Linked DNA regions of Rhinolophus ferrumequinum. The protein of the gene in region 1 interacts with the protein of each later gene in a biochemical or structural test. Links are inferred from orthologs where the notes say so. Each region holds a gene or a part of one and is shown in the gene's direction. Other genes may lie near its edges.

Region 1 (5,401 bases):
TTCCATTTACATAAAATTCTAGAAAATACAAACTATGTATAATGAGATAAAGCAAACCAGTGGTTGTCTGAGGGCAGGGCTGGGGCAAAGGAGGACATTGGTGAAGGGGGGCAATTGGGAAGAATTATGAAGGGACACTAGAAAATGGGCAGAGGAGTGATGGATATGTTCATTATTTTGATTGTAGTGATGTCTTCATATATATACCGGGGGTGCCAAAAAAACGTATACACATGACTTGTATTCATCTTTTGTTATCAGTATATACCTAGTATTACAATTTTAATACAGTTTTTTTTCCTTTCTTAAAATGTGCATAGGGCTACGCTGGATGTCTCTGCTGGTTAGAGCCTGAGCTCTTAACAACAACGTTGCCAGTTGGATTCCCACATGGGCCAGTGAACTGCGCCCTCCACAACTAGATTGAAAAACGACGACTTGACATCCTGGAAAAACAGTTACCCAATATTCCCCAATTTAAATTTAAAAATGTGTATGCTTTTTTTGGCACACTCTGTATATGCCAAAACTTAGCAAATGGTAGTTTAAACATGTATCGTTTATTGCATGTCAATTATACCTCAATAAAATTGTTTTTTACAAAAGTAGAAGTGGGTATGGTAGAGAAATGAGTTAAGAGGTGTCATTTGAGCTGGAAGATATGGGCTTGGCTTGAGAAAAAGCCCTGGCCAAGACAGAAGGAAGATGCAGTGCAGTCCAGTACCGACCTAGGAAAGAAAACGTAGGTTTAGGGGAAGGTAAAGAGACCATTTTAACTAGAGCAGAAAATTAAAAAAAAAAAAAAAAAAGAGGGCCTTGCATATTAAGCTTTTTCAAATCATGCATTGGACTGCAGTTTCAACAGTTACTCCCTAAACAATCCTGGACAAGTTATTTTCCTGGACAAGTTATTTACCTTCTCCGAGAGTCAGTTTCCTTTCTCTATAAAGTAAGGATGATAACAATCACCTATCTTAAATAGTGGCTGTTTAAGATTAAATTAGGCAATGCATGTAAATCACTTGGCAGAGACCAGGTAAATAGTTCGGTGCTCAATAAGTAGAAGGAATTATAACAATTATTGACCCCAACATCAGAAAATGTATACAGATGTTTGAGCAGGAGATAAAAGTGATCCAAGAGGTTATTTAGGAGGAGTCATCTTACCATTACTAATTAACTCCCTTCTAGAGCTGAAATACCAAACTCTATCACCTCTAACCCCTTCCTCACTCTAACTTCACTGGTAGTAAACACCATGCCCTGGAGGAGCGCACAACCAGCAACTAATGTTACCTCCTGTTAGCGAAGGGATTCCAGCTGGTAAGTCCCACCACTGAGGACAAACTAAATTGCGTTGAGCTATGGCCTCTGGAATGGAGAACCAGAGCACCCCCCAATCCCATTCTCAAGGCCACCACCAGCATAGGTATATATTCAGGGTGCATTCTGAAGAGAATAAAACCAGGTGACATTTATTTAATTTTAAACCACAGATATTCCCCCCTAGAATCCAGGGAGACACCCAGGATTTCAGTTACCTGATTTTCTCAAGTCCCTTAAACACTGAACTAGGAATTTATCCTCTGGAGAGTTTCAGAGAAGAAGGCTCTCTGTGCCAGTTTCATCATCTATAAAATGGGAGATAATAATGGTAACTACTTTATGAGGTTCTTATGAGGATTAAATGAGTCAGAATGTGTAAAGGGCCTAGAACATTATGTGGCCCATCGTAAGTGCTCTGTAGGCTAAAATTTTGTAAGGACTTTATTTCTTCCATCTTGTTTACAATGCTTATTTGTGATCATGTATTTTTCAATTACTAAGCATTAAGTGTCCTCATAACAGGCTAGCCCAATGCACCTCTGAGCTACAAGTAAGTTTGGTTAATTGGTGGCTTATAAATATTCATCCTCCAAGCTTTCCCACAGACCCAGTAGTGGTTGGATCTGCTAATTTCATTTAGTTAGAAATATATTGCAGATAAAAGAATTTTAAATTAACTGGTAACTTTATTAATAACCATATCCTCTACACACATCTGAAAACACACATGTAGGAAACAAGATTTATTCAGTCTATGATAATGTCTGGAGTCCATTTGGATTCATGAAACCCTTACAGTGGGCTCCAGGACCCCTTAGGCAAAAGCAGAGTTGAGTACCTGATCAGACCATCAGTGTCTTTATCAGCAAAATCAAGGTTTAGACAGAGATTCAACATTCTGTAATTACACAAAATAAAACTAAATTGCAACTGTCCTCAGTTCTCGGGAGACAGAAGTGGACAATGTTAGCTGCATGACCAGTGGACCGATCACTTTGCTTCTCTCAACCTCATTTGTAAAAGGTAGCATATTAACCTTGCATATCATACAGATTGTCTGTCTTACGTGGTCTTCGAAAAACAAATGAGATGGCTAAGTGCAAATTAAAGCTCATCTCAGTGTGGAACAGAGGATGGGTGCAGGGAGTGGGGCAGAAAAGAAGGGAAAAGGGCCTTTCCAGTGACCAACTCTCAATGTACTGAAAACCCAAGAGATTACGCTAAACTGAGAAGCGTTAGAGTAAAAGGAAGACCTACCATTGCCACGTCCTCTTTCCAGCAAAAAAGAATCTTAACATGGGCCTCCTCTCAGGTGTTGCCCCGAGGTGACCATGGACGACAGCCTTGGGGAAGGAGCTCCAAAAACATTTCCATTTTCATGTCTTCACATACATCTAATGGAAATGAACCGCACCCATCCACCCATCCATGGAAGTGATTAGAAGAAAAGGGTGCGATAAAAAAATTTAACAAATATTAACATCAGTAAGTATTTAAGTGTCCACTATGTGCCAGGTACTGATTGGCTTTGGCGATATAGCCAAAAAACAGACCAGCAAAGTCTCTGTTAAGGGCATAAGAAAAAACATAAACAAAATAAACGAAAGAGAAAATTTCTGACGGCTGCTATGAGGAAGATAAAACAGTGAAGGACCAGGACAGGCAGGAATGAGGAGCGCAAATTCCTGAGTGGATAACTTGGGAAGGTCTGAGAGGTTAAATTTGAACCCAGACCTAAATGACCAGTGCCTTTAAGTGACCCGAGTCCAGAACCTTTTGAGAAAATTAAAAGCAAAAATGAAACACAAGAACGAGAAACAATAGGGATTTCAAAGCCGCAAAGTGAGCAGCAGAAACCAGAATCTATTAATTCCGAGGGGCGGCGCGGGATTTTGAATATTCACGTTGTCCAATCAGAGAAGGGCTGGGACCTTGGAAGCGCAGACTCCGCCGGAAGTGCTCGGAATCGCTGGTGTCCAAAGGAGGCCACATCGCAGGACACAACGGATCAGCACCCAAGCAGCTGCCGAATTCTCGGGAGAAACCTTCCTGGCTGTGACGCAGTGTCCGCGAGACCCGGGCTTAGTTTTGTCCTGGGACACTTTCTTAAATGAACATGACCGAAATCACTTCGTTTAAAACGCCAATAAAATATACCCAACAGAGCCACCAAGACGTCTGGGGCCGGAGTAGGAGCAGATTCCCGATACTAATTTAGACCTGATTCAGGAAAAGCAAAAAGCACAGGAACGGGTTAAAGACGTGCCCTACATTCAAGAGCCAAGTCACGTAGGCGGAACCTCAAAGCAGGAAAGCTTAAAAACGTATGTGTTCCGCGATCTTTATCCTAACATAACTTATGAAAAGATGAACGCAGAGAGCTCTTTTCTGAGTAGGTGGGTGGCTCTGAAAAGAGCCTTTGGAGTCAAGCGGCTGGCCACTCATGGGAGCGCCGCGTCCCGGCAGGGACTCACTTGGAGCTGGTGTACTTGGTGACGGCCTTGGTGCCCTCGGACACGGCGTGCTTGGCCAGCTCCCCGGGCAGCAGCAGGCGCACGGCCGTCTGGATCTCCCGGGACGTGATGGTGGAGCGCTTGTTGTAATGCGCCAGGCGGGAGGCCTCGCCGGCGATGCGCTCGAAGATGTCGTTGACGAAAGAATTCATGATACCCATGGCCTTAGACGAGATACCGGTGTCGGGATGCACCTGCTTCAGCACCTTGTACACGTAGATGGAGTAGCTCTCCTTGCGGCTGCGCTTGCGCTTTTTGCCATCCTTCTTCTGGGCTTTGGTGACTGCCTTCTTCGAACCCTTCTTAGGCGCGGGAGCGGATTTTGCCGGCTCAGGCATTATCAAACACACAACACAGCTTGGTAAAGAAAAGGAATGAGATAATGGGCGGGCATGATCCTTTTATAACCACTGTATGCAAATTAGGACTCCAGAAGTCTTTCGTTTCTATTGGGCTACGCAGGGACCTGGCGTTTCCAGTAGTAGCTACGTAACGACACTGACTCTTGACCCAATTGGTCGTTTCTGGAGCCAATTTAGAACCAATGAAAAACTCATTCCTGACCCCTCCCCTAGGAAAGCTTATAAAGGCTTTCGAAGTGCTGATTTTTCAGTCCTGTTTCGGTGCGAGGTTCTGAGATTTAGAACAGTTGGTTTTGTGTGTAGTCATGTCTGGTCGTGGAAAACAAGGAGGCAAAGCTCGCGCTAAGGCCAAGTCGCGATCGTCCCGGGCTGGTCTCCAGTTTCCGGTGGGGCGAGTGCACCGTCTGCTGCGCAAGGGTAACTATGCGGAACGGGTGGGGGCTGGCGCGCCCGTCTACATGGCGGCCGTGCTCGAGTACCTGACCGCGGAGATCCTGGAGCTGGCGGGGAACGCCGCCCGAGACAACAAGAAGACGCGCATCATCCCTCGTCACCTGCAGCTGGCCATCCGCAACGACGAGGAACTGAACAAGCTGCTGGGCAAAGTCACCATCGCCCAGGGCGGCGTTCTGCCCAACATTCAGGCAGTTCTATTACCAAAGAAGACCGAGAGCCACAAAGCCAAAAGCAAATAAAATGTGACAAAGTAAACCAAAGATCAAAGGCTCTTTTTAGAGCCACCCAAGTTTTCAAAAAAAGAGCTAATGCGCTGTTGTGGTCAGCCCCTCATTTGACACTCGAGTGGCTCTTAAAAGAGCCTTTTGGGGGGGGGAGGACGGGTGTCAACCATCTGAATTACTTGTTCTTGCCAGGTTTGTGACTCTCCGTTTTCTTAGGCAACAAAACTGCCTGGATGTTAGGCAAGACACCTCCCTGGGCGATAGTGACACCCCCGAGTAATTTGTTGAGTTCTTCGTCATTTCTCACGGCTAGTTGTAAGTGGCGAGGGATGATGCGAGTCTTCTTGTTGTCTCGGGCGGCGTTGCCCGCCAGTTCCAGGATCTCCGCGGTCAGGTATTCAAGCACGGCCGCCAGGTACACGGGGGCACCGGCCCCCACCCGCTCCGCGTAGTTGCCTTTGCGCAGCAGGCGGTGCACTCGCCCCACCGGGAACTGCAGGCCTGCGCGTGACGAGCGCGA
Region 2 (7,173 bases), on another chromosome or scaffold:
CATTAGTCATGGCCTTTTGTGACCATTTAGTCAACAAATGTTTGTTGAGACCCTGCTGTGCAGCCAGCAGTGTTATGGGCCATGGGAATAAAGCAATGAATAAAACAAAGTCCTTCCTCTCATGGTACTTACCTTATCATGGTATATAGGTGGTCTGGCTAACAGGATGGAAAAATATTGCGTTCTTGCTCTGTCCATACTAGAACTGGACACCTGTGTAATATTCCAGCTTCTTTCTTCTTAGACATTGTTTGGAAAGGTACTGACAGCATTTACTACTGTGAACTTAGATGTATGAATTCATTTGGGCCTGAATGTCCTTCCTTTTCTTTAAGTTTACTTGGATATCACTGCTCTCTGATGAGCTGATCTCACCACTTACCTTTGAAGACAACCTGACATTCTTTATTTACAGTCCTTGAGGGTCAATTATCTGTAACCCTAAGAACTGAATACATTCATATTTGATACATATATAAACAAGAGAGACAGTCTGGTGTGGGAAAAACAACACAAGCTTTGAAGCTGGCTTTGGTATGAATTCCTGCTCCATTAATACTTAGTTCCTAGTTCTACGTAATTTAGCAAGGTAGCAAACCTACTTTTATAGCTTTAAAAAAAAATAGTACAAGTAATATACGCATAAATTTTCATTAACATTCAAACTTGGTTTTATTACTTTAGGGGTTACTTTAGGGTTCATATTGTACGTCTTCAATAGATCACAGTGATAATGTATTCAATTGCCACTTCATGTATAGTATAGTTATACCACTTCGTGTATAGTATAATGATCTGACAATAATATACTTGCATTTCTCCTTTTCGGGACTTTGTATTATTGTTGTCATACATTTAATTTATACGTATATTATAAAGCTCACAATACATTGTTATTATATTTGTTTAAACAGTTAATAATCTTTTAACAAGATTTAAATACTAAGAAAAAAACTTACATATTTACCATGTACTAGTAGTTACCATTCCCTGCACTCTTTCTTTTTCCTACCTGATACCATTTCCCTCTCCCTGAAGGATGTCCTTTAACATTTCTTGTAGTAAAAATAGGTTGATGATGAGTTCCTTCAGATTTTATATCTTAAAAAGACATCTTTTGGCCTCCATTTTTGAAAGAAATTTTTACTAGGTATTCAATTCTCTGACTGCACTGACTTTTTTTCTTTCAGTCATTACAGATATTGATTTAACATTTTCTTGTTGTCATTGTTTCCAACAAGAATTTTGTTGTGATTTTTATTTTTTCCCTCTGTAGGTAACATGCCTTTATTCTCTGGAGAGTTTCTCTCTTTATCACCATTTTTGAGCAATATGATTTTGATGGGCCTTAATGTAATTTTCTTTATGTTTCTTCTGTCTGGAGTTCCTCGAGTTTCTTAGATCTATGAGTTTATAGTTTTTCTCAAAGCTGGAAAATTTTTCAATCATTATTTCTTCAAATGTTTTTTTCCTGATCCCTATCCCTTACTTTCCAGAACTCTATTGCACATATATTAGGAAGCTTGAAGTTGTCCTACAGCTCATTGCTTTTCTATTTCTAAAATTTTTAAATTTCTCTGTGTGTTTCATTTTGTATAGTTCTTTCATTGCATGTTTAAGTTCACAAATCCTTCCTTCTGTCATGTCTAATTTTCCATTAATCCAACCCAGTGTATTTTTTCATTTCAGGCATTATAGTTTTTATCTCTAGAAATTCAGTTTCATTCTTTAAATATTTTTCATGTGTCCACTTAACTTTTTGAACACATAGAATACAGTTATAATAACTGTTTAATGTGCTTATTTTAACATCCATAGCAGTACTTGGTGGGTTTCAATGGACTGATTGATTTTCCTTATTATGGGTCATATTTTCCTACTTCTTTGCATGCCTGGTAAATTGGACATCACTCATTGTGAATTTTGTCTTGCTGGGTGCTGGATATTTTTGTATTCCTGTAAATACTCTTGAGTGTTTTCGGGAGGAGACGTGGAGATGCAGTTAAGTTTACATGGAAACAGTTTTATCCTTTCAGATATTGTATTTAAGATTTGTTCGGCAGTACCAGCGCAGTGCTCCACCTAGAGCTAATTATTTTCAACTGCTTAGACAGTACCCTTCTGAGTTATCTACCCAATGCCCCAGGAATTGTGCAGTTTTCCCAGTCTGGCCAGAAGGAATAGGCACTATTCCGGGCTCTGTGTGAGTACCAGGCACTGCGCTATTCCTTCCAATGTTTTTCCGTTGGTTCTTTCTTCAATTTAGGGAACAGGTCTTCTATTTTGTATTCCCCAGAGTCTGGAGCATTGCTCTCAAATTTTGCCTAATCAATATCATCCTCATAAATGTGAAACAGGAGAAGGTTCTTCCTGGGATAAGTGCTCCTCCTTTGTACTCCCACAACTGCCTGTAACTCCTCTATCGTAGAAATTATTATATCATCTTGAAATTGCATATCTGATAGACTTTATGGGGCAGAGACTACGTTTGTCTTGTTCAATGCCATTTCCCCAGTATACAGCACAGGAGGAGTACAACAAGGAATTATGAAATATGAATTCTGAATTCTGCTTCCAAACTGCTTGGTGAGAAAGTGGGTCTTTAAACAAGTCGCAGAGCCGCAGACCTCTAGAACAGGAAATGTTAAATAGACCAGGCCTCAGGAGTTCATTTGACTGTAAGGTTATAATCTTATCCTGTCAGGCGGGTTGGGCCTTGACCCTTGTAAGCCAACTAAGCGGGAGCATTGTGTGGGATATGTTTGTAAAGGGTTCAGACTAGTCTAAAGGTCTCGGGGCATATTTAAATTCTGTGCAGGCTTTTCCTTCCTTCCACATATGTTTTAATGTCTACTGATGCTGGCACTGGAGCTGAAAGCCTTCATCCAGTATAGAGTTGCAAGAGACACTGTTCACATGATATTTTGTGTTATTGTCTAGGAGGCATTTGATATCATGTACATGCAGACAGCACGACCAGGGTTCCATCTCAGCCTGCTACATAAAGATCAATGAAAGGCAACTCTATTCTTTATTTTCTTTTGACTATCTGGCCACGTACATCTTTCTAACCTTGCTTTAAACCAAATTCAACAAACATCTTAGAATTCCTACTCTGTGCCAGGCTTTCCAGTTACCATTGGGACTTATCATTGGATCAGCCCTTAAACAACAGAAGCAGCACTCCCAGAGTGGCCTAAGGATGGGACAATATTCAGTTTTTGAGCCCTGGATCTCCCTCTTTACAAATCTTTCTCTCCATCTTCTGCCATCACATTTATAGTACAGCTCATCTTATCCCTGAGCACGAACAAAAGTGAGACGAAACAAATTAAGAATAGTGTGGGAAGTGAATTCATTCCATTAATTGATTGATTCATTCATCAGTTAAATATTAATTTTAAGCACCTACTATGTGTCAGACACCAGGCTGAATGTTGGTAGTATAAGGACTCGCAGAGACAGCCTTTGTCCTTAAAGAAGTCACAGTCCTGTGTTAGAGGCAGGCAAGTGAAGAAACTGTTACAGTAATGTGAGTGAGGTAGAAGGTAGAAGAATACATAAGGCCAATATCTAATTTCTTGAGAAGACATAAATTCTTGGAAATGGTGTTTATCTTTCACAGTTCCTAACAACATAATTTGTATAAGGTGAGCAGTCCGTAAAGAGTCAAAAAACCTGGATTCTCATCCCAGCTTTGTTTTTGACCAGCTGTGTGTCCTTTGACAGTCATTTCAGCTTTCTGACTCTCAGTTTCCCATCTGTAAAGTTAAACTGTTGATACCAGTCCTCCAATAGACTGGGTTATTGTAAAGATCAATGGTCACGAGAGTGACTTTTTAATTAATTGTAAAGACCTGTGCAACATAAAATATGCAATCATAAGTTATATTCTTAAATGTTTTTTGAATTTTAAAACAGAACTTGTTCAGCACTAACGTTTTCTTTAAAAAAAAAAAAAGAGAAGAAAAAAAAACCGAAAAGCAGACCAGTCGGTAAAAGGTCCTTCATTGTAGTCACCTTCACTGTTTAAAGCACGTCTGGCTTCACTTTTTCAACACTCCAGGAAGATATTTATTACTATCCCTATTAGACAAATGAGAGAAGTGAGTGCCAAAGAATTTATCCAAGAGCACAACCTCTTCAAAACCCAAGCCTGGGCCACCTCCCAACGTCTTTAAACGTCAACAAAAGTCAAAAAGACCCACCCCCCGGCCGCAGGGGGCATCGTTTCTCCGGAAGCCCAGCGTCCCCAGGCGCAGCGCTGGACGAGACTTCAATTCCGCCCGATGACGCATGCGGCCCCACCCCCGACCATCCACCTCTCGCGGGATCTCTCGGGAGGACGGATGGGGTCAGGTCCCATCATGGCGGCTGAAGAGGCGGATGTGGATATCGAAGGGGACGTGGTGGCCGCGGCAGCACAGCCAGGGTGAGGCACAGGGACCGGGTCTCGCCGGGACGCGGAGGGGGGCGGGTGCGAGGAGAGTGCCGCAGAATGGCGGCGCGTCGGTCAAGGGCCAGGGGAGCGGAAGAAAACCGCGGCGCCAGGGTCTCCTAGCGGCCGGTGAGGGGCCGCGCCCATCGGGCCAGCCGGCCACTCCTGAGCCCAGCGGGCGGGGACCCCGAGCGAGTGTCGGACGGCTGTCGCACCTTTTATCTGGATGCCGTGAGGGCTCCGAGTTCGCCTAGCGCAAGGCACTCTTCCGAACAATTCCTTCTGCCACTCCCTCCACCCCCCAATTTCGCCAGAATCCTCCTCCTCACCCCCGCCCGACAGTAACTCCGACAAGGGCGGCCCCTGGACGAGATCCGAGGTCAGGGATCCTTGTTCCTTGCTTGGCAAGCCGTGTGACCTTGGGCGTTTCAGTCCGACTGGCCGCAGGTTTCCTCTTCCACGTAGGGATAGTTGTGAAAAAGTTCCTGAGAGGCAGCTTGACTTAAGGGAAAGGGGTAGGACTTCGGAGCTGGACAGCTCGGGGTTCTCCTCCTGCATTGGCGGGCCCTGCCAGTGTCTAGCAGTGTGACCTCAGGCCAGACGTTAAACTTGTCTCCGCCTCAGACAGCTCATGTGTAAACGGGCAAATCATGAAATGTACCTTGTACGAGTCCGGTGAGGATCCAATGAAATATAATTGTTGGGTGTGTTTTAGCATATGTTAGGTGCTCGGTAACTGTCGTGTTCTTGACTGTTCTGTTACCCTCGAGGATGGTATGGTGAGAACTCAGTGAGGGGTCACGATGAATTTAACACCAATTTCTGCATAATAGGCCAGTGTCGTTTTAAACGGCACCATCCAGCTTGAGATCTAACCCTTTGACTCTTTGCTGTCTGAAATAGAAATTGATGCATACCATTTTAAAAATGTACCTCCAGAGTCTCCCTTTAATAGTGGAAGAGGCCAAGACGGATGAGGAATCAAAAGACCTCCATACTAAACTCAGCCAGCTGTGCTGCTCATAACTGGGAACAACTTCATTAGAACTCCATCTACTGTGTTGAACCATGTGAAAGCGCCAGTCTTAGAACGTTTTGACCTGTAAAATGGCAATTTCATATGATCCAAGCTAACATTGGGGTTTCTGTAAATTGTGGACAACAGTACTGACCCTGCCCATGAGGGACTAACATAAGAGGTTTAAAGTTTTTGTGAATTCTAAAGCATTGGAAACATGTGCGGAGTAATTAAATTCATAGTTATTCTCTCCCAAATCGTTAGGCAAATCAGTCCAAAGCTCTACAGATGAGTAGGGAACCTTTAATAACCATCATTGTTCACATTAGTAGATGAAATTAATCTTTTTTTTTCTTTTTTCCGCCACCCCCCTCCCTCTCCGGTTCAAGCCGTGGTTTCTCGGTCTAGCTGTGTAGGACGCAGCTATGTTGCCAACCCAAATCTCTTTTCCTGAGCTTCGGATCTGTTTATCCAACACTCCGAAACTATATGCTCTTGGTGGTTCCACAAGCCCCTCAGTCTGAGCTTAGAAATTTTCTCCACCAAACGTGCCTCTCTAGGTTCCCAGTTCAATAAATGGCGCCAACTACTCAGTCACACAAGGCACAGACCTACATGTACACTTTTCCTTGACTTTTTCCTTCTACTCTTTCTGTCCTATCAGTTATTAAGGGTCTGTTGACTCTAAGTATACTCTCAGATGTGTTCACTTCTTCCTGTTGCTTGTGCCCTTGGTCTAAATTACTGTCACCTTTTTCTAGTATTTATATAATCACTCCTTCATAACTGTTCCTTGTCTCTTTGGCCCCTTCTATACTTCCCTGAAGTTAGAGCCGCCTTTCTTACATCCGTCTCTGATTGTGTTATTCCTTTCAATTCCCAATTGACTTCTTGATAAAACATTCATTCCTTAACTCCTAGAGATCTGTGTGATCCATGCCTCACCTACTTCAGTCATTCAATCATTCAACAAATATTGATTGAGCACCTTTTGTATACCAAGCAGTTACCAAAACTTAAACCCTTGCTCTAATAGAACCAAACATTCTTTATTAGGTAAGACAGACAATAAACCTCCTATATATATTTCAAATGGAGATAAGTGGGAAAAGAAAAAGGAGGGAAGGTGGATGGCTCCTCAGCTTTATCCCTCGCACTTACCCAGGGAAAAGTATAAGGTCTGAAAGTACAGGCCCTCTGGTCAGTGTGGATATTGTGTAAGAACTGGATTTGAAAAAGAGAGAAGCAACAGAATTGGCAACAAATTGAATGTGCATTGTGAGGAAATAAGGACAGGCTCAGATTTCTGGCTTGGGCTTTTAAGGGGATGAAGATGCCATAGACTGAGATAGGGAACGATGGAAGAGGAGCATATTTGAGAGGAAAGTGAGCTCAGGTTTAAACACATTAATTGGTGGTACCTGTGGATGTCCAGGTAGGTGTCTTGATGCATACACCAGCGGTGTGGATGTTGCTAATTCTTACTGAGGAATACTATGTAAAAAGATTTCTGAAGTAAACTTGAAGTGATTCTAGTCCCACCTCCTGCACCCTTGGCAGGTCTAGTTAGTTAAACAAAGGTTTCCTTCTGCTGATATGAGTCTAAGAATCCTTTATTTTGCGTTCCTGGTAGATCCTGTCAAGTCAGAATTGACATTTGAATTAAAACCTTTTTGCCATCAACAGTTGAGAAACATTATTGCTTTTAGTTTATTGT
Region 3 (7,380 bases), on another chromosome or scaffold:
TTTATATGAAGATGGTAGAAATCTGAAGCTTGGTTTTAGACATACTTGGTTTAGACATAATGCAGTGCCTAGAAAGACAGCTAAGTGAGTACAGATTGGCAGCAGGCAGATGGATGTAGTTATGGGGTTTATGAGAGATCCCGATGGAGATGCAATTTTGGGAGTAATCAGCATTTACTTAAAGGCATGTCTGTTTAATCACCCAGGTAGTGAGTGACGTTGGGAGAAGACACCATAGAGTTTGGAGGTCTGGAAGACAAAACGGAACAAGCAGTGAAGTTTGGGACCAAGTCACCATTGGAGGCGGGGGAGGCAACTACGGGAGTGTTGTCACAAGTAAACCACTTATTTGTCCAATTATTTCTGGAGATGAGATTTCAGTCTAAGAAAAAACCCTGTAAGAGAATTTTCTGACTCAAGATTTCCGCGAATGCTGTAAGACCATAGAATCAAACGAGTTTCCTGAGCGGAATTGTTCTTTCTCCTGCCTCGCCGGCACAGGAGCCCTCGCACCTAACAATGAACTAGGCCTTGGAGGGGGAAGGGTGGTGGTGGCGATGGTGGGGGGCAGGAAACGCCGAGGCCCGTTCTAACCAATGAGCGGTGTGCAGCGCGTGGGGAGGCGGTGCCACTACGTCGCCACGTTCCGGGGACCAGGAACGGGCTGCAGCAGCGACCCTCAGTCCCTGCCACTGGGATCTAGTGGGCAGAAGACTCACCTCGAGCCATGGACCGCCTTGGTGCTGTAGCCCCGGGTTTCCTGGCTGCGTGGCCAGTTCACTTCTCATCCGGAGGGAGCCTCAGAATTCTGGAGGACGACCGGAAGCGTACACACCGCTCCGGCGGGGCGGCCCCGGGGACGTGAGACGGCGCCTTCCCGACGGGGCGCGTGCGCGCCAGTCCCGGAAGCGCGAGCCGCGGGGACCTGTTAGTCGCGGGTTGCGGTGGGCGGCTGGGATTCCTTAGCCCCATCGCGTTCCTGTTTTACCCTATTGGCATTTGCCAGCTGCTGCCACTGTCAGGGAGAAGTGTAGCCAACACTGGTTCCTGGGTCAAGGATTGATCCCTTAAAGGAACGCCCCTCAAATTCGAACGTGGCGGAGGAAACATTTACGGATGTTTGTATAGCGCAGATCGGGATCGGTAGGTAGCGGTGGGGTCCTACATTCCGCATTCCTAAAACCTTCCTGCGCTGCAGCGGTCCTGACGGTCCTGAACGACACTGAGTAGCAAGGCATTAGGGAGAGGGTGAGCGTGGATGCTGGCTGTGGCGACTTCAGGAAGGACCCTGGGCATACACAGAAGTTCGTCCCGGCTAGTAAAAGGACAGTTTGAAGGCGACTCCACACGAGAGTAATTAGAAATGTTTTTCTTCACAATCTAAATATACCCAATGCACTTTTTTCTTTGTGTTACATATGCATTTTAGAAATCTCCAATAAGATATTTTGCAAACACTGATATTCATTGGTGTTGGTTATTGTTGCTAACCTCTGCGGTTTTTTTTTTTTTTTACAAAAATAAAATTAGTACATAGGTCTTTATAGCTGCATCTTCTACTTGGTATTTTGTAGGTATTTTTCAATGTCATTAAATCATTGCTTTTTTCCTCCAACTTTTAGGAACAATTTCAAGCGCACAGCAAAGTTGAGAGAATTTTACAGTGAAGCAGTAGAGCAACTCAAGAGAAGGGGAGCGATTTTGCTCCCCAGGGAACATTTAGGAATGTCTGAAGACATTTTGGGTTGCCACAACTGGAGGGATGCTTCTGACATCTAATGGGCTGCTGCTCAACTTCCTACAAACACAGGCTATCCCCCTACAACAAGGAACTCGCTGGTCCCAAATGTCCAGAGTGCTGAGGTTAAGAAACTGACCGGAACGCTATCATAACATTTTCCTCTACCAGCTTTGCCATACATCTATGCAGACATTAGTATACCTTTCCCGTAGTACTTCAGCATGCATAACACTAGTATTCAAATTCAGTTTCTGTAATGACGAGTGGGGGGGGCCAGGGAGGGGCTACTTCATTTATTTAGCAATACCTAATCAGTTTATTTAGCAATACGCAATAGCAAAAGACAAAGGCAATTCAAACAAGGTGCTAATGACAGAAAGGAAAGGCGGTTAAGATTAAAATATATGCCAGCGAAGCTCACCAAACGGCTAAAACAGCACTGGAAAAGTCATAAAACAAAATCTTGTCAGGTCTGCGGCGGGGAAAGCTGAGTTGTCTCCCAGGGCTGCTTGCTAGTTCCCAAGAATGCTGGAATGATGAAGACTCACCAAGGACGGATGACGAAAGTACACTGCCAACTGAGATCTGTCTTATATATTTTTTCAGATGTGCCTTAGAGCCAAGCTCCCTATTCCTGCCTCCTGCTCCGGGAATGGCCAGTTCCCAGAGGGTTCAGCAGTTACTGTGATAAGAATATTGCGTATCCGGCCGAAGGGCCAGTTCACTCGGACCAACAACACTTACCTGTTATTGCCTGGGACCATCGGCCCAATGCCTTCCAACATGCCTGTCACGTCATTCCGATATAATTTAGATACTTATCTACCTCATCTACTGATGCAGGAAAATAGACAAAAATCCAACTCAGAGTTAGTCTGCAACAAACCTCACATGCAGTCCTCCACATGTGAGGGAACAAAAAGCTAACCAGTGCCTCACGTGCAGTCTCTCACGTGAGGGAACCCCACATGCGGTCTCTCGTGGGGGAACAAAAAGCTAACAGACAAAAGATAACAGCAGCCAATGAAGGCAAATTTCCCGAACATCATTCCCAGTTTCTTTTGAGGCAAAAATGAAATGTGTATTTGCTGAGTTTTGACACATGCATACACCTGTGTAACTTAAACCCTATTAAGATATAGAATATACCAGAACCCGGAAGTATCTTCACACTCCTTTCCAGTCAGTTCCTACCCAACCCCCAAGAAACAACCACTGTTCTGATTTTTCCCCACAGGAATTAGATTTGCCTGCTCCAGAATTTCATATGAATGGAATTATACAGTATTTTTGCTTAAGACTTCTTCCAGAATGTTTTAAGAGATTCATCCATGTTCTTGTGTGTATGAGTACTTTTTATTGCTTAGTATTCCATTGTGTGACTAGACCAGTTTTTCCATTCTTTTGATGAAAATGTGGCTATGTCCAGTTTTTTGGCTATTTTGAGTAAGGCTGCTACGAACATTCTTGTACAGCATTTCATTTCGAATGACTGTTTCTTCAGTAAGTATTCACTAAGCACTTATATGTTCCAGACACTTCTCAATACCAGAGATACAGCAGTGAACGAGACAAAGATGTCCCATCTCTCAAGGAGCTTACATTTGCATGTTTCTGTGTATGTAGGAGATGGGGACGGGAGATAAACATATAGGTAAATATGAAAGAAAATGACCAGATAGTGGTAATTGTTAGGCAGAGAAGCAAAATGAGGTGAGTGGTTGGGTAGCTATGTTCTTTAGGTTGCCCAGCCAATTTCAAACCAGAAAGTGACTCTCAAGGTGTGAACATTATTACAAGAAGATACCAAAGAGGGAAGATGAAGAGGACCAGCATTCCAGGCAGAGGAAGCAGGTGGTACAACAGATACTTCTGTGTTCTAGAATTGAAACAAAAAATGCCTGTGTGCTGAGTGAAGATAGCTTAAAAGAATCATATCAGCAAAAAGGGCAGGAGAATCAGTTTCCCCCCAAATTTAGCCGTCGTGACTCTGACCAATTCAACAGGTTAGGAGGCAACGTTCTTAACCTACTTTTATCCGATTACTAATAAGGATGAACATTTAATCCTATCTTTTATGACCAATTGCTCTTTTATTGTGAATTATCTTGTGTATAGCACTTGCCTATTTTTCTGTTGGCACCTGCACCTTTTTCTCCCCAGCGATTGTGTTTTCTGTATAAGACTAAACTCCAGGGCAGTGAGGCCTATGTTTAATTCACTTCACAGAGGGTTTGGCACAAACACATTCTGGACGAAGAAACAGTAAATGTTTGAACATCTTACCCTCTGTCGGCAAGGTCAGCTCAAGACAATTTATTTACATACTCAATTTTAGAAGTCGATTGGATAGAATTAGGGGAACTGCATGAAATTTAACTGTCCCCCTCTTAGCCAGACTTCACATGTAATGTGAGTAATGTAACCCCCACGAGACTCCAAACCTCTGACTACCACCAGGTACCCACAGTTTAGAAGCATTTAGAAGCATTTGCATCCCAGTAAGGAGAACTCATCGGCAACCACAGTCCTGTGTGCCGCTGCGTCTGCGCTTCCGGGGCCAGCCGCGCGCAGGCGCCGACTAACTAGCGTCAGCGCCTCTAGACCCTGGGGCCAAAGTCACTTCCCATAATGCCCCGTACCGGAAGTTGTTGCTTTCTAGTGGTCACTGTGGCTTTGGCTCTGTCGCTTTTTATTCGTCACCAGGAGGAAGACAGAGCTGGCTGCCCAGCCCAAAGGCCTATTAGGGGATGCAGTTATGGGCGCTGTCGCCGTGGGTGAGTTCTGATCTCAATGAGTCGCAGTCACAGCTCGCATGACTTCCCGTGCTCGGAGAGCCCGAATTTTCTGCCCTGAACTCGTTCTCTTGTCTAAGGCCCCTCTTCCCTAAGCACGTTACCCATCCTCGGCCCGGTGCCGCGTTCTCATTGGCTTTATGTCCTGTCACTTCCAGAAGCTGGCCAATGAGTTGTCGGTGGTGGCGCCTTTCTCGACCTGGTGGACCCCGAGGTTCCCCCAGGGGTGCGGAGCAGTTGGACTGAAAGGGGAGGTGTGGCGGGCGCCGGGCGACTGGGGGCACCCTACGGGTTAGAGCTGGGTTTGCTGCCGCGGCCCAGTGGTGGGTCGTAGGAAAAGCAGGACCTAGCCGATTCAATGACCCTGGGATAGGATACATCTGCACAGAATTTGAAAGCCCTGTTTAAGACCTGATGACAAAGTTTTCCAAACGCTTCCATTTTCAATGGAACCGAGCAGGCATGAGAAGACTGGGAGGGCATAGATGGTAGGGAACTGGGTTAATATGAGAACCGGCAAGACCAGCTTTGGTTGGAATTTTGTGTGGAGTCCTGCAAAGAGTAATTTGGCTAAGAAGCTAATTCTCATCTGAAGAATCGCCTGAAAAACTTAATATGATTCATTGATGTTTTATAGCTGATGGTACCTACAGTGCTCTTTTCTTATGACTCATTAGACGTCCTTCATACTTGTCAAAAATTTATTGGAACTCTATCCACAGCATTAAAGTGACTCCCCTACTGTCTGTCCTCTGCCTGCAGCAGTTACAATTCGTCTTTCAAGTTTACCTTTGGAGTCTGGGCTACTGCAGTCCTCAAACCAGATTCGCTAGTGCTGCCTTCACTGCTGCAGACTTCATCCTTTCCCCTTTTCTTTTTCACGGGAACGTGGTTGCTTCGTTCTTATGTACATACCTTTGTACCTTGTAATCATCCTTTTGCATCAGGTACTATTCTTTTTTCCTATTTCCCTGCAAGAATTATTTCTTGAGGACCTACTAGGTACTAACACTATGTTAGGTGTTGTAGCCAAATCAGAAGTAAAGCCTAAAACCATTTCTTTCTCCCAGAACTTTAGATTCCAGATAGACACATAGTACATGTCCAGATTAAAAATGTCCCAGCTAGAGATCAGAGGCATAGAGGTGGGGCCGAGGTGTTTGGGAGTGGAGGATACCCAAGAGACTGACTTGATAGGCATGGAAAGAGTGGTGATTTTGGGGGGCGGGGGGTGGGGGTGGGGTGGTGGAAGACCTCCGTTTTAGTTCTGTCTCTGACCTCCAGTGATCTTTCATCATTTTGCTTTTGAGTTTCCTCCTTTAGTGAAATGCTCTATTTAAAGGGTTGTTGTGAAAAGCAAATGAGAGAATGTTTATGAAAGGGCTTTGGAGGTCAAAAGCATCATATAGTTAAACTTTAGTGGTTCTTTTTGAGAAGTAGTGAGAGTCAGAATTGCCAGAGCATTGGGGACAATTTCTAAAGGACCATGAGCGCAAGGCTGAGGAGTGTGGACTGGAAAACTGTTAAATACTTTCAATCAAGAGAGTGAAGTGATGGAAATGGCATTATTGGAAGGTATATCTGGTATTAAAATGCAGCACAGATTAGAGGGAGTTTGATTGGAAGGAAGAATGTGGGTGCTGTTTTTTTCCCCTAAGATCTATAATTCCGGGTAAGATAAGTTAAATGTTGTCTTTGGGATGAGAAAAAGCACATAAAATATACCTCGTTTTAAATGTATCTATATACTTTGTATTCTTTTGTTGTTTATTCATTTGCTTTGTAAACATGAAACTTGTTACATTTTAGATTATCTTTGTAAAGATTAGCAGTTACTCGATGTGGCACTTATTTTTCATGCAAACGTTTTTGAATTACCTTTAGTGACACTAACCCATTAAGAGCTAAAAGAGGAATACTCCTAAGACTAAGACAGAGCAGGATGACAGCTAAGTTTCAGAATTAATGGGGAAGTGTTTCAAAACATATGTTCCAAGTCTTTCCACTTATGTAATAAGAATTTTAATAAGCATCCCAGATCGGATAACATTGTAGAAATTTAAGTGGTTTTGACACTAAGTTACTGTAATGTATGTTAGATACAATTTTTCAAAATCATTGCTATTATTTAAAGCTAGGTGGACCTGTATGTACTTTCAGCACTATTCACATTTGCTGGTTTTGAATTGTTGACTAAAGAGGTGAAGAGTTGATGTACAGCTAGATTTGTCATAGTATTCCAAATTGATTTGGCAGTAATGTAATATAAATAGTTGAGAATACAGTTATAATCAATTCTTGGTTAATATCCATAGGGAATTCTGGTGTGGAGAATGCAGAACAGTGTGTCACTTTTTGTATTTGGTCTTGAAATTATTTTGAAAAATTTTCTAACTCCTGTTAGGAGTTTGTTTTCAGAATTTTTAATTTTTCTTAGAGAAATTATCAATTTAATTTGCATAGACTGCAGAACTAAGAAAGGTAGTTTAGAGGAAAAGGAAATCAGCTGAGGTTTAAACATGCCACCAGCATTCCATTCATTAATGTAGTGAGTTGAATTCCAAATAGTGTAAAGTGCTGAGACTTTTCAAGATCTGTATAAGAATACGTAGGTTCTCTCCTGACCTTTACATTTATTGAAAACCTATTAATCTTACTAAGAATCAGTTTCCTGATCTATGAATCACAGGAGTAATACTATCTATTCTATCTACTTCAGAGTTTTTATTGAAAACCAGATGATGTATGTGAATGGCCTTTATAAATTATAAAGTATGATAGGCAAAATATTATATGTGGCTGAGTTATATTACTTAGAGAAATATAAAACAAACTTTTTTTTTT
Region 4 (7,293 bases), on another chromosome or scaffold:
GCTACCATGGCAACGGTGCCGCCGGCCTCGCGCTCGGGGCCTAACGCGCAAGACCGGAACGTCGGCTGCACCGGCCTGACCCGGAAGAGAAAATGAGAAGACGCGATAACGAATTCCCGGTGGACGCTAAGTGGAAGTTCTCTTGGGGGTGGGGATGGGAAACGAATTCCCCATGGGCGCCAAGTGGATGTTCTCTTGGGGGTGGGAGTGGGGAGTACGGGTTGCGGTTGATCAAACTGGAGCCTCCACACAAAGTTGATTTTGAGCGGAGATGGGGGCGGATTAGCATTTTGACTGCAGCGTGAATGACTGCAAATCCTCCACGAAAGGGGAACCGAGGTGGATTCTGGTCCAACCTGGGTCGCATATGCCCCCAGGCAGAACACCTGCTGCTTATGCTTGGTCATAAAAGGATGGCTGGTATCATTAAGTAGAGACATCTTGTAAAGTGAGACTTCCAAACAAGTCTGGTGTAATCGGAGTTTTCTAAGTTACGTAGTTATGTTCAAGCTGGATGATGCATTTACAAAATAAACCGATACTTTAAAATACAGAAACAGAAAAAAATAGGAATCTTTTCCACAGACCCCGTTTGTCTTTGAAAACTGAGTTCGACCTCAGCTATCGACATTAATCCCTAAAATGGGGATAAGATGGTAACTAAATCAACATTTCTTGAATACCTGAAATAATGCGTTTAAATTTTTTCGAACTCGTAGTAATCCTCCTTTTTTAAAAACTCACTACACGCCTAAAACTCCTTTGGGAAAGCAAATAATCCAAAGAGTTCTGCCACACACGGATTGACATACAACGGCACAGGGAGAAAAAAAAAGCGGTTATCTAATTGCTTAAGAACTAGACACAGGGTTCTGCTGCAGTGACAGCCTCCAATGAATAACAAGGATATCACTGCAGCGAGCATCCAGGTATTTCTTGGGGCTTTCATTTCTTTTTTTTTTTGTAAAAAGAGTTAAATGTTAAAAGGCCAAATCTCACTATGCTTCCCCTAAATGAGAAAGCATCATTATTATCCAATAAATTCTACTCCAGTTGGTTCCACCCCACCATGCACATTAAAATCACAAATGTCTACTTACTGGTCCAGGACCCTAAGACGTCTGGTTTGAGGATTGGGCCGGACCGAGGTTTTCTTGGGTCCCAGGGCCTGATCTGTGGGTGACTGCAGGCAGTATTTTATGAACCTCATATTTGAGGAGGTCATGGCAGGGAGTATGAGGAAAACACCCCTCATGATGGATAGGTGAATTTTTAAAAAGGCCCCACTCCCAGAGATCCTAATTTAAACGACAGGGTAAAGGAATTGGTATTTTAAAAGCTCCCAGGTGTTTCTATGCTGTTAAGGTTTATACTGAGAGGAGTGGGAGAGGAAGAAGAGGTGATCATTGGTTTTTGTTTATCATCACCAAAAAAAATTCAGAAATGTCTTTCCGTTTAAAAAGTTGTTCAACGTTGTTATAAAATACTTTCTAAGAATAAGCATGTTAAAGTAAATCTCATAGTGGGCCCTGACTTGCTGTAAGCGTATTAAATATATGTTCTGGGCTAAGTATTTGCAAGGGACAAGGCATGAATCAGAGTCCTTGCCCTCAGTGAGCTCACAGTTTAGCAATACAGAATCACTACAGTATAAAATTATAGCTTAAAACTATTCTTTCTACTGTTAAAGAAAAAAAAATCACAGGCCCAAAGTAGCATCACCAGGAAGCCCATGATACCAAACCTAGATTTAATACCTTACTTAATTGCAGTTTCAACCTCTCCCAGGAACAGTCTTGACCACAAAATTCCAGACTACCTTAGTTACCTAGAATTTTCTGGTCAACACCAATGAAATAATCTATCACGTGGGCCCTTTCCACGTCACCCTCGAAAACAAAGAGGCAATCTGTGTGATAAAAACCCTTCCCATTCTCTCCCACCCCAAAAGATGTCTCTGCTCAAAATTAATCCTTTTCTTTTGTTAATACTGTGTTTCCCCGAAAATAAGACATAGCCAGACAATCAGCTCTAATGTGTCTTTTGGAGCAAAAATATAAGACTCGGTATTATATTATATTATATCTGGTCTTATAGTAAAATAAGACCAGGTCTATATTAATTTTTGATACAAAAGACACATTAGAGCTGATAGTCTAGCTCTTATTTTCAGGGAAACGCGGTAGCTCTTTTATCTTCTTCCTATAAAAACCTTCCGTTTTGTAAAGCCTCTCAAAGTGCCCTTCTAGTTGCTAGGTGGGACACTGCCCAATTCATGAATCGCTTGATAAAGCCAATTAGATCTTCAAATTTACTCTGTTGAATTTTGTTTTTAACACTACAAATAGGTTGTGGTGGGCCTGGTAACCAGGACAGCCAATGATTCTTGCTTAATACACTACTACAACACTTTAAAGCAACACCTTCACTGATTTTGTTGAAAGTGTTCTTCATTTTAGAAAATTGTAAACTAGGTTTCCAAAACAATTATAAATTGCTAGATAAATGACATAACAGGGATTTTTTAAAAAATTTTCTCTTCAGCATTTCACTGCATGTAACCCCACCAGTGTGTCTTCATCCTTAGCTAGGGAAGGATTAGGATTGGCTATGGCAAGAAGGCAAAAAAGTAAAAATAAGAATATCTAACTTTTGACTTAAAGAATCACATTTGTGAATGCACAGCAGGACCTATCAAGAGTTAGTCCTGGCTGACCTGATCACGAAGGCAGTTCCTAAAAGCAAGAGCTGGAATTCAAGGTTAGAAGACCGGGTGGGGGGGTGGGGGGGTGGAGGGGGTACCAGGAAAGTGGGGAAAGTTAGCCCTCTCTGGTTCCATTGAACTTTGGGCAACTTGGGGCAATTCTAAGGTCCTTATTCTATCTTCTCATTCCACTTTGGGCTGAAGTATTTAGAGTCCTCTCCAAGGGTCAATACCTTTAAGCCATGCCCCTGCCCCTTCCCACTGGGCTTTCTGGCACATTTGCCCCTTACCTGTTGATACAGAAAACCTTAAATGACTTATCCAGGCTAGATACCGTGTTTCCCCAAAAATAAGATCTAGCCGGACCATCTGCTCTAGTGCGTCTTTTGGATCAAAAATTAATATAAGACCGCGTCTTATTATATTAATTTTTCCTCCAAAAGACGCATTAGAGCTCACTGTCTGGCTAGGTCTTATTTTTGGGGAAACAGGGTATATTTACCCCCCCCCCCAAGATCTGAATCATAGTTTTAGGTTTCTTTAACAACCAACCTTCCATTGATATGCTCTCTGGAGACCTCATCCCCACATTTATTGACAAATACAATGGTACCCCATCCTAGCCAAATCCATGGACTTGGACACATCCTCATATGAGGGCAGACCTATAAAGGAAAAACAAGATTCTTAATTCCACAGGGAGTGTGAATAAACCTTGGACAATCTACACCGTTCTTTTATCTTTGCCCAGACTTTCCAACCCTGGAAACCCCACTGCAATGTACATACATACACGCTATTGCATGGCCCTAAGGAAGTATTTTAGGGGATTTTACTTCGTACGGGCCTCAGCATTTAATCCTGCATTTATTAGAAAAAATGAAAGCCCCCATCACTTTCTTCTTCATGTACCAGATTTGATAAGCCATTGAACCAGCCAGAGGGGATTTTAAATCCAAATTATTTTCGGCTCAGTTTTAAAGACTTAAGCAAAACAAGCTTTGCTTCCATCAGGACCTCTTCGATTGCCCTCCCTGTTCATAGGACGAAACAGATGGAAAACTAATAAAAGTATATGCCCGCCCTCAGCTCAGTCAATTTACCTGCTTCACTGACCTGGCTGAGACTCAGATCCAGGAGACACTCTCAAGGGATCCGTTCTAATCGCGTCACAGGGACACGTGGTTCTAGATACTTCGCCCCCTCCCCCTCAGGGGTGGATTGTTGACAACTCCGCCAGCAGTCACGTGGTTTTACGTCATCCCTCCTCCTTTCCTGAAATCTCCGACCTCGCTTGAGTCCCTCTCTCCCCACCCGGTCGGGCCTAAATTAGTGAAAGGGGGAGAGACAGGGTGGTGTTTCGGTTTCGGTGTCTCTTAATTCACAATTTCCAGCCTGAACACAGCGAAGACTAATTTTTCGATTAGGTCAGGCAGCCACAATGGATAGGGTCCTGCTGAAAGGCTACGTTCGAGCTCTCATACGGCCTATCTCCTTCTCCTCCACCCCTCATTCTGTGGTAGTGGCGGAGGGCGGAGGGATCTGGAGGTGGCGGAGGGAGACGTCATTGCAGGGTTGTTTGTGCAGCCTCGGCGGCGGCGGTGACCCGCAGTGATTCGGCCGCCGCGCCGGGGGGTGGGGGGGCTGCGCGGGACTCTTTTCTCTCAGACTGACCGCGGGGCAGCTGGGGAGCATGTCGACCCCGGCCCGGAGGAGGCTTATGCGGGATTTCAAGCGGTAAGGCCCTTCACGTTCGCCAGGATGATGGCTCCTCCCCAGACCTACGGGCCTGCAGGGTGGGGATCGGGATACCTTCCTCTCACGGTCCTAAGAGGGCCGACTGTGGGCCCCGCGGGACCGACGGAGGCCAGTTCTACTCCCCCCGTTCGCACTTCCACATCTTTGCTTGCTCACTCCTCTGACGTAAGACATTTCGATACCCCCTCCTCCCCAAAAGTAAAAAGATGGCTGTGGGCTGTCCTAGGATTCCCCGCTGCCTGCTCGGGCCAGCTGCCCGACGTCTCGCCCCAGCGTTCAAACCTCACCCCCCCACCCCCACCCCTGCACCCGGCGGCGCCCCCTCCTTGTCTCCCAAAAGCGAGCTCTTGGGGAAGCTTTTTTCCCTGCTTGCTGCACCAATCAGCTTTGTTCGATGGTCCTGCGGTCTCCTCGGAGGGACAGGGTTGGGGCGAAAAGCCCCCCCCCCCGTTCGTTCTGCAGTGAGGGTGGGGTCTGCAGCGCGAGATCCGGAGGTGGTTAACCCATCCTCCGAAACCCGACTCTCACCCGCCCGCCTGAAAGGACCTTGAGAACTGGCTTAGAAACCTGGGACTCGAGCTGGCAACACCGGCTGCCAGTGCCTTCTGGAACTCAGCTCCGTGGCCTGGTGTATAAAGCCCTATCTATAGCCTCCAAAGTCTGGAAAAATGCCTTCCCTTAACTGGCGTTAACCTGATACTCCCTGGGCCTCCTTTTGTAAAATAGGGTTTTGTTGAGAAGTGTGGGGGTTAGTGAGAAGGAAGTGATTTTTTTTTTCCAGTTTACGTTTGATTGAATACTTGGAGGTACGGGAAAAAAATGACTGAGAAAACTTAGCATTGCGATCCTCTGCACATTATAAGTGTTTTTCATGGGAGACCTGCCTTGATTGAGATAAAATATCTAGTGTAAAATTTTAGATTAGCTGCTCAGGAAGTAACCTCTCAACTTCACAATTACAACGTCGTAGGTGAGGCCTTTGGAACCTATTGTTTTGGGCTTCAGCCAATTTATCGTTGAATATATTCGTAACTTCTCTTAGCCTTTGGTGGGCATCAAGCAGCCTAATTCCTCTAAGGCTTCTTCATCGTGGCCTAATCTGAGGTTCACTAAAAATAACCATTTTTATGTAGACTAATTTCAAAGTATTATACTACATGACAATCACTGCATGTATAATATATATAATGTAGCATTCATTTTTTACTGAGATAACAGTCTTTAAAAGGAGATGCCCTATTTCATGCTTCTTCTGAAGCTTGAAATTGGTAGATTTCAGACTAACTCCCATGAACAAAATTCAAATAATAAAACTTTGTTTGTGTCCATTGTTACCCTGGTTTTCTTACTGTGAGTCTCTGCTTTATTCTGAGTTGAACACATGGCACTTTTGCTAGTTTTCCAAGGGTCTCCAGGTTATGAGAATTTGACTATGACAAATGTTGGATGGTAGTAGCTTTGTATTGACTCTCCTGATCTGAGAGGTAAATTTAATGTTAGTGCCGAACCTCTAAAATAGGGACTGATAGGAAAACCTAAATGAAACTTTGATTACTTTAAAAGCCATTGCCAATTGAAGCAAATTGTATAAAGTAACTTTCCTGCCTAAAATTAGTTTCCTAATTAAATTGGATATGTGTTTTTAATAGTTTTGTGTTTACACTAGGATTTCGCCCGTTCTCAGGAGTTTTTGTCGCTTTTCTTTCCCGAATCCCGAGATATAAACTGTTTTCTGTTCTCACGATGAACTGTTTCCACAAAGTGACGGCCGATACTACCAACCACCTGGGTTCAAGGAGCCGATTTTCCCGATTTCCTGACCAATTTTTCTTGGGATTGGAACAGAAAAGCAAAAAGAAAAAAAGTTCCCGAGAACAGGCGGGAATTCCCGCCCGGAAACCCTAGCGATAAATAGGAAAAATGTCTAAGATACATTGCGAGTAATACATTTATTTCCCATTGTGGGTATTACTGGGTTCAAGGAGCCCATCTCCCCGATTTCCCGACCAACTTTTCTCAGGATTCGGGAATGGGAAAGCGAAAAAAGATCACGAGAACGGGACGGGAATCCCTGCCCGGAAACCCTAGTTTACACTGAGGTTTTTTTGTTTTTTGGGGGGTGGGAGGAGGTTTGGTGGCCATGTTGCACAAATAGCTGTGGTTAGGACTCATACAGCAGCAAAATGGATGTTCTGTGAAAATCTTGCAGTTGAGGTTTTTAATTTTAATTTTTATTTTTTGAGGGAAGCCTGTATACATTAGTTCTTGAAGAGATATCTTAATCTTGATGGTATTTGAAGAGGGATACTCCCAAACTCTTTGGAATTTTAGATAATTTGTAGATAAGTGTATACCTGGTCGTTTTTTCTTTTTTTTTAAGTTACATGGTTTATTCCAGCTCAACACAAGGACAAGAAAATGGTTTTATTTTGTTTCAAAGTAAATGGTGTATAGGTGTTCTGTTTGGTCTTTTTTTCCTGGCCTTAATGTTCAACTTGTAAAATTACTACCTGGGGTTCTAGATTGCAAGAGGACCCACCTGTGGGTGTCAGTGGCGCACCATCTGAAAACAACATCATGCAGTGGAATGCAGTTATATTTGGGTGAGTTGAAGAATATAACGATTGATAGGTGTGGTGATTCTGTAAGGAAAAAAGTGTGTAACAACTAGGAAGAGAGGCAAAGGTGGAATGGGGATCTTACAGAAACTGCTAAGTAAATTAGAAAAATCATTTTGATAAGAGTTTTGGCAGTTTCATAAAATTTATTTGTGCTTTGGTGTTAATACATATGATTTTATAATGACTTTGGCTTTACTGATAAAAATACCA

What was found.
Region 2: of the proteins of histone H2A type 2-C (region 1) and MYSM1, one has a biochemical effect on the other in vitro, tested with the Homo sapiens proteins (2 studies listed by BioGRID). The link is inferred for Rhinolophus ferrumequinum from reciprocal best matches to the Homo sapiens genes H2AC20 and MYSM1.
Region 3: of the proteins of histone H2A type 2-C (region 1) and USP16, one has a biochemical effect on the other in vitro, tested with the Homo sapiens proteins (2 studies listed by BioGRID). The link is inferred for Rhinolophus ferrumequinum from reciprocal best matches to the Homo sapiens genes H2AC20 and USP16.
Region 4: of the proteins of histone H2A type 2-C (region 1) and UBE2B, one has a biochemical effect on the other in vitro, tested with the Homo sapiens proteins (2 studies listed by BioGRID, with this or other methods). The link is inferred for Rhinolophus ferrumequinum from reciprocal best matches to the Homo sapiens genes H2AC20 and UBE2B.

Annotation. Positions count from the first base shown.
Region 1 is NC_046305.1:50,347,446-50,352,846, forward strand, and holds histone H2A type 2-C, read left to right. Parts: upstream 1-4,470; 5' UTR 4,471-4,506; coding exon 4,507-4,896; 3' UTR 4,897-4,897; downstream 4,898-5,401. Other genes in the region: histone H2B type 2-E, read right to left, coding at 3,797-4,177; histone H2A type 2-B, read right to left, coding at 5,057-5,401. UniProt on the Homo sapiens protein: Core component of nucleosome. Nucleosomes wrap and compact DNA into chromatin, limiting DNA accessibility to the cellular machineries which require DNA as a template.
Region 2 is NC_046292.1:42,464,590-42,471,762, reverse strand, and holds the start of MYSM1 (deubiquitinase MYSM1), read left to right. Parts: upstream 1-4,153; 5' UTR 4,154-4,289; coding exon 4,290-4,432; intron 4,433-7,173. UniProt on the Homo sapiens protein: Metalloprotease with deubiquitinase activity that plays important regulator roles in hematopoietic stem cell function, blood cell production and immune response.
Region 3 is NC_046285.1:95,785,300-95,792,679, forward strand, and holds the start of USP16 (ubiquitin carboxyl-terminal hydrolase 16), read left to right. Parts: upstream 1-4,380; 5' UTR 4,381-4,499; coding exon of another isoform or gene 4,500-4,518; intron 4,519-5,298; exon of another isoform or gene 5,299-5,483; intron 5,484-7,380. UniProt on the Homo sapiens protein: Specifically deubiquitinates 'Lys-120' of histone H2A (H2AK119Ub), a specific tag for epigenetic transcriptional repression, thereby acting as a coactivator.
Region 4 is NC_046307.1:10,298,947-10,306,239, forward strand, and holds the start of UBE2B (ubiquitin-conjugating enzyme E2 B), read left to right. Parts: upstream 1-4,271; 5' UTR 4,272-4,397; coding exon 4,398-4,441; intron 4,442-6,984; coding exon 6,985-7,065; intron 7,066-7,293. UniProt on the Homo sapiens protein: E2 ubiquitin-conjugating enzyme that accepts ubiquitin from the ubiquitin-activating enzyme E1 and transfers it to a E3 ubiquitin-protein ligase. In vitro catalyzes 'Lys-11'-, as well as 'Lys-48'- and 'Lys-63'-linked polyubiquitination.